Linked DNA regions of Saccharomyces cerevisiae S288C. The gene in region 1 interacts genetically with each later gene. Each region holds a gene or a part of one and is shown in the gene's direction. Other genes may lie near its edges.

Region 1 (3,356 bases):
AGAAACTTAGAGCTCCAGGTCAACCAGGTCATTATATAGACCAGGATGAACTAGAAATAGATGAAGATGAATACAAAGAGAAAGTACATGAAATGCAAAAGTTGATTGGTCTAGCTTCATATGTTGGATATAAATTTAGATTTGACTTACTATACTACATCAACACACTTGCTCAACATATACTATTCCCCTCTAGGCAAGTTTTAGACATGACATATGAGTTAATACAATTCATGTGGGACACTAGAGATAAACAATTAATATGGCACAAAAACAAACCTACCAAGCCAGATAATAAACTAGTCGCAATAAGCGATGCTTCATATGGTAACCAACCATATTACAAGTCACAAATTGGTAACATTTTCCTACTCAACGGAAAAGTGATTGGAGGAAAGTCGACAAAGGCTTCGTTAACATGCACTTCAACTACAGAAGCAGAAATACACGCAGTCAGTGAAGCTATTCCGCTATTGAATAACCTCAGTCACCTTGTGCAAGAACTTAACAAGAAACCAATTATTAAAGGCTTACTTACTGATAGTAGATCAACGATCAGTATAATTAAGTCTACAAATGAAGAGAAATTTAGAAACAGATTTTTTGGCACAAAGGCAATGAGACTTAGAGATGAAGTATCAGGTAATAATTTATACGTATACTACATCGAGACCAAGAAGAACATTGCTGATGTGATGACAAAACCTCTTCCGATAAAAACATTTAAACTATTAACTAACAAATGGATTCATTAGATCTATTACATTATGGGTGGTATGTTGGAATAAAAATCAACTATCATCTACTAACTAGTATTTACGTTACTAGTATATTATCATATACGGTGTTAGAAGATGACGCAAATGATGAGAAATAGTCATCTAAATTAGTGGAAGCTGAAACGCAAGGATTGATAATGTAATAGGATCAATGAATATTAACATATAAAATGATGATAATAATATTTATAGAATTGTGTAGAATTGCAGATTCCCTTTTATGGATTCCTAAATCCTCGAGGAGAACTTCTAGTATATCTACATACCTAATATTATTGCCTTATTAAAAATGGAATCCCAACAATTACATCAAAATCCACATTCTCTTCAAAATCAATTGTCCTGTACTTCCTTGTTCATGTGTGTTCAAAAACGTTATATTTATAGGATAATTATACTCTATTTCTCAACAAGTAATTGGTTGTTTGGCCGAGCGGTCTAAGGCGCCTGATTCAAGAAATATCTTGACCGCAGTTAACTGTGGGAATACTCAGGTATCGTAAGATGCAAGAGTTCGAATCTCTTAGCAACCATTATTTTTTTCCTCAACATAACGAGAACACACAGGGGCGCTATCGCACAGAATCAAATTCGATGACTGGAAATTTTTTGTTAATTTCAGAGGTCGCCTGACGCATATACCTTTTTCAACTGAAAAATTGGGAGAAAAAGGAAAGGTGAGAGCGCCGGAACCGGCTTTTCATATAGAATAGAGAAGCGTTCATGACTAAATGCTTGCATCACAATACTTGAAGTTGACAATATTATTTAAGGACCTATTGTTTTTTCCAATAGGTGGTTAGCAATCGTCTTACTTTCTAACTTTTCTTACCTTTTACATTTCAGCAATATATATATATATATTTCAAGGATATACCATTCTAATGTCTGCCCCTAAGAAGATCGTCGTTTTGCCAGGTGACCACGTTGGTCAAGAAATCACAGCCGAAGCCATTAAGGTTCTTAAAGCTATTTCTGATGTTCGTTCCAATGTCAAGTTCGATTTCGAAAATCATTTAATTGGTGGTGCTGCTATCGATGCTACAGGTGTTCCACTTCCAGATGAGGCGCTGGAAGCCTCCAAGAAGGCTGATGCCGTTTTGTTAGGTGCTGTGGGTGGTCCTAAATGGGGTACCGGTAGTGTTAGACCTGAACAAGGTTTACTAAAAATCCGTAAAGAACTTCAATTGTACGCCAACTTAAGACCATGTAACTTTGCATCCGACTCTCTTTTAGACTTATCTCCAATCAAGCCACAATTTGCTAAAGGTACTGACTTCGTTGTTGTCAGAGAATTAGTGGGAGGTATTTACTTTGGTAAGAGAAAGGAAGACGATGGTGATGGTGTCGCTTGGGATAGTGAACAATACACCGTTCCAGAAGTGCAAAGAATCACAAGAATGGCCGCTTTCATGGCCCTACAACATGAGCCACCATTGCCTATTTGGTCCTTGGATAAAGCTAATGTTTTGGCCTCTTCAAGATTATGGAGAAAAACTGTGGAGGAAACCATCAAGAACGAATTCCCTACATTGAAGGTTCAACATCAATTGATTGATTCTGCCGCCATGATCCTAGTTAAGAACCCAACCCACCTAAATGGTATTATAATCACCAGCAACATGTTTGGTGATATCATCTCCGATGAAGCCTCCGTTATCCCAGGTTCCTTGGGTTTGTTGCCATCTGCGTCCTTGGCCTCTTTGCCAGACAAGAACACCGCATTTGGTTTGTACGAACCATGCCACGGTTCTGCTCCAGATTTGCCAAAGAATAAGGTCAACCCTATCGCCACTATCTTGTCTGCTGCAATGATGTTGAAATTGTCATTGAACTTGCCTGAAGAAGGTAAGGCCATTGAAGATGCAGTTAAAAAGGTTTTGGATGCAGGTATCAGAACTGGTGATTTAGGTGGTTCCAACAGTACCACCGAAGTCGGTGATGCTGTCGCCGAAGAAGTTAAGAAAATCCTTGCTTAAAAAGATTCTCTTTTTTTATGATATTTGTACATAAACTTTATAAATGAAATTCATAATAGAAACGACACGAAATTACAAAATGGAATATGTTCATAGGGTAGACGAAACTATATACGCAATCTACATACATTTATCAAGAAGGAGAAAAAGGAGGATGTAAAGGAATACAGGTAAGCAAATTGATACTAATGGCTCAACGTGATAAGGAAAAAGAATTGCACTTTAACATTAATATTGACAAGGAGGAGGGCACCACACAAAAAGTTAGGTGTAACAGAAAATCATGAAACTATGATTCCTAATTTATATATTGGAGGATTTTCTCTAAAAAAAAAAAAATACAACAAATAAAAAACACTCAATGACCTGACCATTTGATGGAGTTTAAGTCAATACCTTCTTGAACCATTTCCCATAATGGTGAAAGTTCCCTCAAGAATTTTACTCTGTCAGAAACGGCCTTAACGACGTAGTCGACCTCCTCTTCAGTACTAAATCTACCAATACCAAATCTGATGGAAGAATGGGCTAATGCATCATCCTTACCCAGCGCATGTAAAACATAAGAAGGTTCTAGGGAAGCAGATGTACAGGCTGA
Region 2 (4,156 bases), on another chromosome or scaffold:
AGATAGAGAAGTGGGCTTTCTGGTCATGCCACGCAAGTTACAAGCGCGGAATTGCTACCACTTTACGTCTTTCTTCATGTTCCTCGGACGTTTCCAATCATTAGCCGTTCCTCTAGACATCTACAGATCTATTCCTAATCACAACCTATCTCTAGCCGCAAGATATATCTGTGTGAGAGGGGTCGCAACAGGAATACCTTAAATGGGATAACCGTCACGTGACTCTCACTAGGGGCATCAAGTGCGCTGCTTCTTCAAGGTTTTCGCGCCCTGTTTGAAGAAGTGGCACAGAATCCATAGAGTAATATTACTAACGAGCTACGAAACTTAGCTTACCTATTAAATACTCAAAGAAAATACGCTGTGTATGCTTTTGCGGCACATCTATGTCATTAAATCTCTCCATGGCGCGTATATTTTATGACGGGAAATCTGAGGCCGATCGAGGAGGGAAATTACTAGAAAAGCTTATCCTTCTTTACCTCCGAACAAATTTTAAAATATACCTCAATGGGAATAAAGAATGCAAGGAAAGGCAAGGTTCAGCCTATGATGATGAATATCGTACTCTAAAATTATAGATATCTAACTGTGGGCGTATTAAACCTTGCTTTGGTCATTATCCAATCGTGTATGCAGAGAGCGGGGCGATATGCAGCAAACAAAAGGGGCGAAATAATAGTTACTCCAAAGATGAAATGGCAGAAGAAAATGGAAAACTATACAGTTTGCGAAGGAGGCATCCTCTTAGTTAAAAAAAAATTTGGACTCATTGCACTGCAAACAGAGTTTCTAGGATTGTCATATTTTGTACCTCCTGGAATGTTAAGACTTTCTCATTAATAATGGTGTGATACACTTATAGTTGGGTGCTAAAAGGTAACTGCAAGCCCCACATCTATAATATTACCGTTAAGTTTCCGGCGAATAGTTTCTCTTTTCGCCCCTCTATTTCTCCCTTCAAATGTGAAGATAAGGAGGACAGCCATAAATATTCCTGTAATGACATTCCATCTTGGGTGGACAATTTTATGGTATAATCAAGCGTATTTAGAAGTTTGGGCGACAGTATTTCAAGACGAGATGCATAAGTATTCTCTTCATCCTCAATCCCGCGATGCTAAAACAAAGTTTTGTTGTTGCATTCCATTTAAGTAGAGCAAAAGCGTGGCAAATCTGAAAAATTGCCACATAGGGTGCTAAATTTGGTATAATGGCACAAATAAACAATCTCAGTTTACTGACAGTGAACTACAGGAATATACAATTTTGAGGTGTTAACGACCAACCGTTAATAGCTTATTCTCTCATATGTTATACCACTGTAGGAAGAGGTGGTTTCAACTGTATTTTGAGCACAGGTAGATATAAGCTCTGGACAGTTTTGCTACCCCTTGAAAGAATTCAACAGTATTTTCTGAGGTACTCATCGTAAAAGATTGCTAATTTTGGTCGCGATGTATATAGGTAAAGGAGTATTTCCTAAAAGTTGCCAAAGATTATCAAAATATTACCGTGTTTATAAAATAAACTGACACCCGGATAATTAAGAAGTGGTAAGCTTATGTTAGAGTACTTGTACTTGACAAGTAAAATCAGAATTGGGAATTATCAATTGAGATCACGTGCAAACCGAAGAAATGCAAAGAAGTAAGGTTAGGGTTTATGGACCCAGGCAGCAGAAAATTGTAGCTTCATTTGTTGGCACAGGACTATTCCACCCTTAGAATTGACTTTTTGGACATTGAGCTAAGGTTCAATGCACTCGATGGTCTTCTCACTTCCGAATATATAGATCTAGCGTGTGAGGACTACTCATTGGCTTGCGATTTACGGTTTTTATATTTTTTGCCGCACATCATTTTTTGGCCTGGTATTGTCATCGCGTTGAGCGGACTCTGAATATAATCCTATTGTTTTTTATGGATCTCTGGAAGCGTCTTTTTGAAGCCAACCCAACAAAAATTCGAGACAAGAAAATAAAAAACGGCACTTCATCAGTATCACAAATACCATCAATTTATCAGCTCTCATGAATGAAATCGATGAGAAAAATCAGGCCCCCGTGCAACAAGAATGCCTGAAAGAGATGATTCAGAATGGGCATGCTCGGCGTATGGGATCTGTTGAAGATCTGTATGTTGCTCTCAACAGACAAAACTTATATCGAAACTTCTGCACATATGGAGAATTGAGTGATTACTGTACTAGGGATCAGCTCACATTAGCTTTGAGGGAAATCTGCCTGAAAAATCCAACTCTTTTACATATTGTTCTACCAACAAGATGGCCAAATCATGAAAATTATTATCGCAGTTCCGAATACTATTCACGGCCACATCCAGTGCATGATTATATTTCAGTATTACAAGAATTGAAACTGAGTGGTGTGGTTCTCAATGAACAACCTGAGTACAGTGCAGTAATGAAGCAAATATTAGAAGAATTCAAAAATAGTAAGGGTTCCTATACTGCAAAAATTTTTAAACTTACTACCACTTTGACTATTCCTTACTTTGGACCAACAGGACCGAGTTGGCGGCTAATTTGTCTTCCAGAAGAGCACACAGAAAAGTGGAAAAAATTTATCTTTGTATCTAATCATTGCATGTCTGATGGTCGGTCTTCGATCCACTTTTTTCATGATTTAAGAGACGAATTAAATAATATTAAAACTCCACCAAAAAAATTAGATTACATTTTCAAGTACGAGGAGGATTACCAATTATTGAGGAAACTTCCAGAACCGATCGAAAAGGTGATAGACTTTAGACCACCGTACTTGTTTATTCCGAAGTCACTTCTTTCGGGTTTCATCTACAATCATTTGAGATTTTCTTCAAAAGGTGTCTGTATGAGAATGGATGATGTGGAAAAAACCGATGATGTTGTCACCGAGATCATCAATATTTCACCAACAGAATTTCAAGCGATTAAAGCAAATATTAAATCAAATATCCAAGGTAAGTGTACTATCACTCCGTTTTTACATGTTTGTTGGTTTGTATCTCTTCATAAATGGGGTAAATTTTTCAAACCATTGAACTTCGAATGGCTTACGGATATTTTTATCCCCGCAGATTGCCGCTCACAACTACCAGATGATGATGAAATGAGACAGATGTACAGATATGGCGCTAACGTTGGATTTATTGACTTCACCCCCTGGATAAGCGAATTTGACATGAATGATAACAAAGAAAATTTTTGGCCACTTATTGAGCACTACCATGAAGTAATTTCGGAAGCTTTAAGAAATAAAAAGCATCTCCATGGCTTAGGGTTCAATATACAAGGCTTCGTTCAAAAATATGTGAACATTGACAAGGTAATGTGCGATCGTGCCATCGGGAAAAGACGCGGAGGTACATTGTTAAGCAATGTAGGTCTGTTTAATCAGTTAGAGGAGCCCGATGCCAAATATTCTATATGCGATTTGGCATTTGGCCAATTTCAAGGATCCTGGCACCAAGCATTTTCCTTGGGTGTTTGTTCGACTAATGTAAAGGGGATGAATATTGTTGTTGCTTCAACAAAGAATGTTGTTGGTAGTCAAGAATCTCTCGAAGAGCTTTGCTCCATTTACAAAGCTCTCCTTTTAGGCCCTTAGATCTCACATGATGCTTGACTGATATTATTCGACAATATGATTATGTCGTGTAAATAACCCACTTTCATGTTGTCACTCCCTCGGCTTTGGTTGGTTAAAGGGACTTATCGGTTTCTTTTTTTAGAGTTGATTTAAGATCAGATCGAAGTAAATAACGTGCAGAACATTGCATATGATAGATAACAACCTATAGTATATATTTCAAAATCGCGACAAATCTGAAATATTAATTGATTTGATTAGCTGCAGAGATCTTCTCGATGTAAGGAGCTATTTAAATAGAAAGGGTCAGAATCGTCGTCCTGTGGGAGCTGGTATATACTAAATTGATGAACAACTAAAATAGCACTCTCATTGTCATTTTGGGTGTGAGACCTTAAGCAAGGAGAGATATTTTTAATGGATGTATTAGCGCAGCCGTTGCTTACGGTATTCCTTGGCATATTGTCCCTGAAAAAAAACCGTTGTACACTCGGATACGCATTTTTCGGACTTCTCCCACCCAAGAAACGCAACTTTTGAAGGGCGCCTACACCACTAGACCAA
Region 3 (3,516 bases), on another chromosome or scaffold:
GGGTGTGCTTTACCCACTCTTATACAGTAGTTAAGTGGCAAAAAGGGTGTCAAAGGGAAAGGAAAACCAGAGGAAAAGCAAAATAGCCGCCAATACTAACTCTAGATTTATATCATGTTATACGATTAATCAGACGCGTCTGATTAATTTCAAAAGTTAAAATATAAACTATTTTTGAAATCCCATTGCAATAAGCGAACTATAGCTGAATCTTTCCTGCAAAAATGGAAGTGAAGGGCAATGGACGCATTGTTAACAAAGTTCAACGAGGATAGAAGTCTCCAAGATGAAAACTTGTCCCAACCACGAACGAGAGTAAGAATTGTTGACGACAATCTTTACAACAAATCGAATCCATTCCAACTATGCTATAAAAAACGTGACTACGGTTCTCAGTACTACCACATTTATCAATACCGTCTAAAGACTTTCAGAGAACGCGTCTTAAAAGAATGTGACAAGAGATGGGATGCGGGCTTTACCTTGAATGGCCAATTAGTTCTAAAAAAGGACAAAGTGTTAGATATTCAGGGAAACCAACCATGTTGGTGCGTAGGATCCATATATTGCGAGATGAAATATAAACCAAACGTACTGGACGAAGTGATCAATGATACATATGGTGCACCAGATTTAACTAAAAGTTATACTGATAAAGAGGGTGGTTCTGATGAAATTATGCTCGAAGATGAAAGTGGGAGAGTGCTTCTAGTGGGAGATTTTATTCGGTCTACACCCTTCATCACGGGTGTTGTTGTAGGTATACTGGGTATGGAAGCTGAAGCCGGGACATTTCAAGTTTTAGACATATGCTACCCCACTCCTTTACCACAAAATCCTTTCCCTGCACCAATTGCTACCTGCCCCACCAGGGGAAAAATTGCTCTTGTTTCTGGGTTAAACCTCAATAATACATCACCTGATAGGCTATTGAGATTGGAGATTTTGAGAGAATTTTTGATGGGGAGAATCAATAACAAAATTGACGACATTTCTCTAATTGGTAGATTACTGATATGCGGCAACTCTGTTGACTTCGACATTAAAAGCGTGAACAAAGACGAATTGATGATTTCTCTAACTGAGTTCAGTAAATTTCTACACAACATTTTGCCATCTATATCTGTTGATATTATGCCCGGAACCAATGATCCAAGTGACAAATCTCTACCGCAACAGCCTTTCCACAAATCATTGTTTGATAAGTCCCTAGAATCATACTTCAACGGTTCTAACAAAGAAATTTTGAATTTAGTGACCAACCCATATGAGTTTAGCTATAATGGCGTAGACGTTCTAGCCGTTTCAGGCAAAAATATCAATGATATTTGTAAATACGTAATACCATCAAATGATAACGGAGAAAGTGAAAACAAGGTCGAGGAGGGCGAGAGTAATGATTTCAAAGACGATATAGAGCATCGCCTGGACCTTATGGAATGTACAATGAAATGGCAAAACATCGCGCCCACCGCACCTGATACCTTATGGTGTTATCCGTACACTGATAAGGATCCATTTGTATTGGATAAGTGGCCCCACGTTTACATTGTGGCAAACCAGCCATATTTTGGAACAAGAGTAGTGGAAATAGGTGGTAAGAACATAAAGATAATATCTGTCCCTGAATTCAGTTCTACTGGGATGATAATATTACTGGATTTGGAAACGTTAGAAGCAGAGACGGTCAAGATTGACATTTAAATAAAACAAGGAATAATTTCCACATAGATATGCAATTAAGTTTTATATGTAAAAGTGAGCATTCATCGTTCAGCTCAAAATACGTTTCTTGTCACAGCTGGTAGAAAAACTATGAGCGTTTTTTCTTACCCGCAGTCGGAGAAAAATTTTTTCTTCGAAGAGGCGAAAAAGAGAAGAAGAGAAAGCACAAATCTGATGAAATAGTAGTATAAAATCGCATTTACAAATTTTCAACCATTGTTTATTTCCTAGGTCATTAAAGAGTAAAGTGCAATCTGTTTACTAATCAGTTTTTGTCTTCATATTTTTGTGTCTTTTCTGCTGCCTCACGCACCTTCTATAATACACCAAATAATGTCCACTTCTCATTGCAGATTTTATGAAAACAAATACCCAGAAATTGACGATATCGTCATGGTTAACGTCCAGCAGATTGCTGAAATGGGTGCTTATGTTAAATTGTTAGAATATGACAACATTGAAGGTATGATTCTACTAAGTGAATTGTCCCGTAGACGTATTAGGTCAATCCAAAAATTAATTCGTGTTGGTAAAAATGATGTCGCCGTTGTTCTTCGTGTCGACAAAGAAAAAGGTTATATTGATTTGTCCAAACGTCGTGTTTCTTCTGAAGATATCATTAAATGTGAAGAAAAATACCAAAAATCTAAGACTGTTCATTCCATTTTAAGATACTGTGCCGAAAAATTCCAAATCCCTTTGGAAGAACTATATAAGACCATTGCTTGGCCATTAAGTCGAAAATTTGGTCACGCTTACGAAGCTTTCAAACTATCCATCATTGACGAAACTGTTTGGGAAGGTATTGAACCGCCATCAAAAGATGTTTTAGATGAATTAAAGAACTATATCTCCAAGAGATTAACACCACAAGCTGTAAAGATTAGAGCCGATGTTGAAGTGTCTTGTTTTAGTTACGAAGGTATCGATGCCATTAAAGACGCATTAAAATCAGCTGAAGACATGTCCACAGAACAAATGCAAGTTAAAGTTAAATTAGTCGCCGCCCCATTATATGTTTTGACCACCCAAGCCTTGGATAAGCAAAAAGGTATTGAACAACTGGAAAGCGCTATTGAAAAAATTACAGAGGTTATTACAAAATACGGCGGTGTTTGCAACATTACCATGCCACCAAAGGCTGTCACTGCTACTGAAGACGCTGAGTTACAAGCTCTATTAGAAAGCAAAGAATTAGATAATAGATCTGACTCTGAAGACGATGAGGATGAGTCAGACGACGAGTAATCATTGCCGCGCCTAATTTTTCTAGGTGTTTTCAAGTGTCATACTGTTTTAGAAAATTTTGTATAGAACAAATACGTATATCCTGCCATATCATATTCTTTGCAATATACACCTTGTACATTTGGCTATTATAAATATTACAATCCATTTAATCATAATCAAAATTTAATTTCTGTTACCACGGGGTTGTCAGTGGAGCATGCCCTGCCGGTTCTCTATAATTTATCTTTTTCACATGAGATATTTTTACCTCAAAAGGTAGTGATGCTGTAATAATATGAGGCTCCCCCCTTTCCTTCGGAATTGCATTTAAATCATTGGGGAACACTAAGACAAGACAAAGGGGCCGTCCACTCATGTGATTTTCAACAAAACAGATAACATGCGGATACACACTGATATATTTTCAAAGGAAAGTCTGACTGATACTTAAGTGAAGTGGTCCTAGTCGGTGGCTTAGGTGGACTACAGTGCAAAGAATAGAATTTTTCAAACATGTCAATACGTCCAGCAACACATGCAGGCTCATGGTATTCCAATAGA

What was found.
Region 2: of LEU2 (region 1) and ATF1, changing one suppresses a phenotype caused by changing the other (phenotypic suppression), as found in Saccharomyces cerevisiae (one study listed by BioGRID).
Region 3: mutations in LEU2 (region 1) and SUI2 impair growth when combined (synthetic growth defect), as found in Saccharomyces cerevisiae (one study listed by BioGRID).

What each region holds. Positions count from the first base shown.
Region 1 is NC_001135.5:89,661-93,016, forward strand, and holds LEU2 (3-isopropylmalate dehydrogenase), read left to right. Parts: upstream 1-1,663; coding exon 1,664-2,758; downstream 2,759-3,356. Other genes in the region: NFS1 (cysteine desulfurase), read right to left, coding at 3,117-3,356. UniProt on the Saccharomyces cerevisiae protein: Catalyzes the oxidation of 3-carboxy-2-hydroxy-4-methylpentanoate (3-isopropylmalate) to 3-carboxy-4-methyl-2-oxopentanoate. The product decarboxylates to 4-methyl-2 oxopentanoate.
Region 2 is NC_001147.6:1,044,194-1,048,349, forward strand, and holds ATF1 (alcohol O-acetyltransferase), read left to right. Parts: upstream 1-2,032; coding exon 2,033-3,610; downstream 3,611-4,156. Other genes in the region: YOR376W-A (uncharacterized protein), read left to right, coding at 1,003-1,158. UniProt on the Saccharomyces cerevisiae protein: Major alcohol O-acetyltransferase that uses acetyl-CoA to synthesize acetate esters from various alcohols, producing ethyl acetate, isoamyl acetate, isobutyl acetate, butyl acetate, hexyl acetate, heptyl acetate and octyl acetate.
Region 3 is NC_001142.9:448,962-452,477, forward strand, and holds SUI2 (translation initiation factor eIF2 subunit alpha), read left to right. Parts: upstream 1-2,058; coding exon 2,059-2,973; downstream 2,974-3,516. Other genes in the region: DNA-directed DNA polymerase delta subunit POL31, read left to right, coding at 241-1,704; MHO1 (Mho1p), read left to right, coding at 3,469-3,516. UniProt on the Saccharomyces cerevisiae protein: eIF-2 functions in the early steps of protein synthesis by forming a ternary complex with GTP and initiator tRNA. This complex binds to a 40S ribosomal subunit, followed by mRNA binding to form a 43S pre-initiation complex.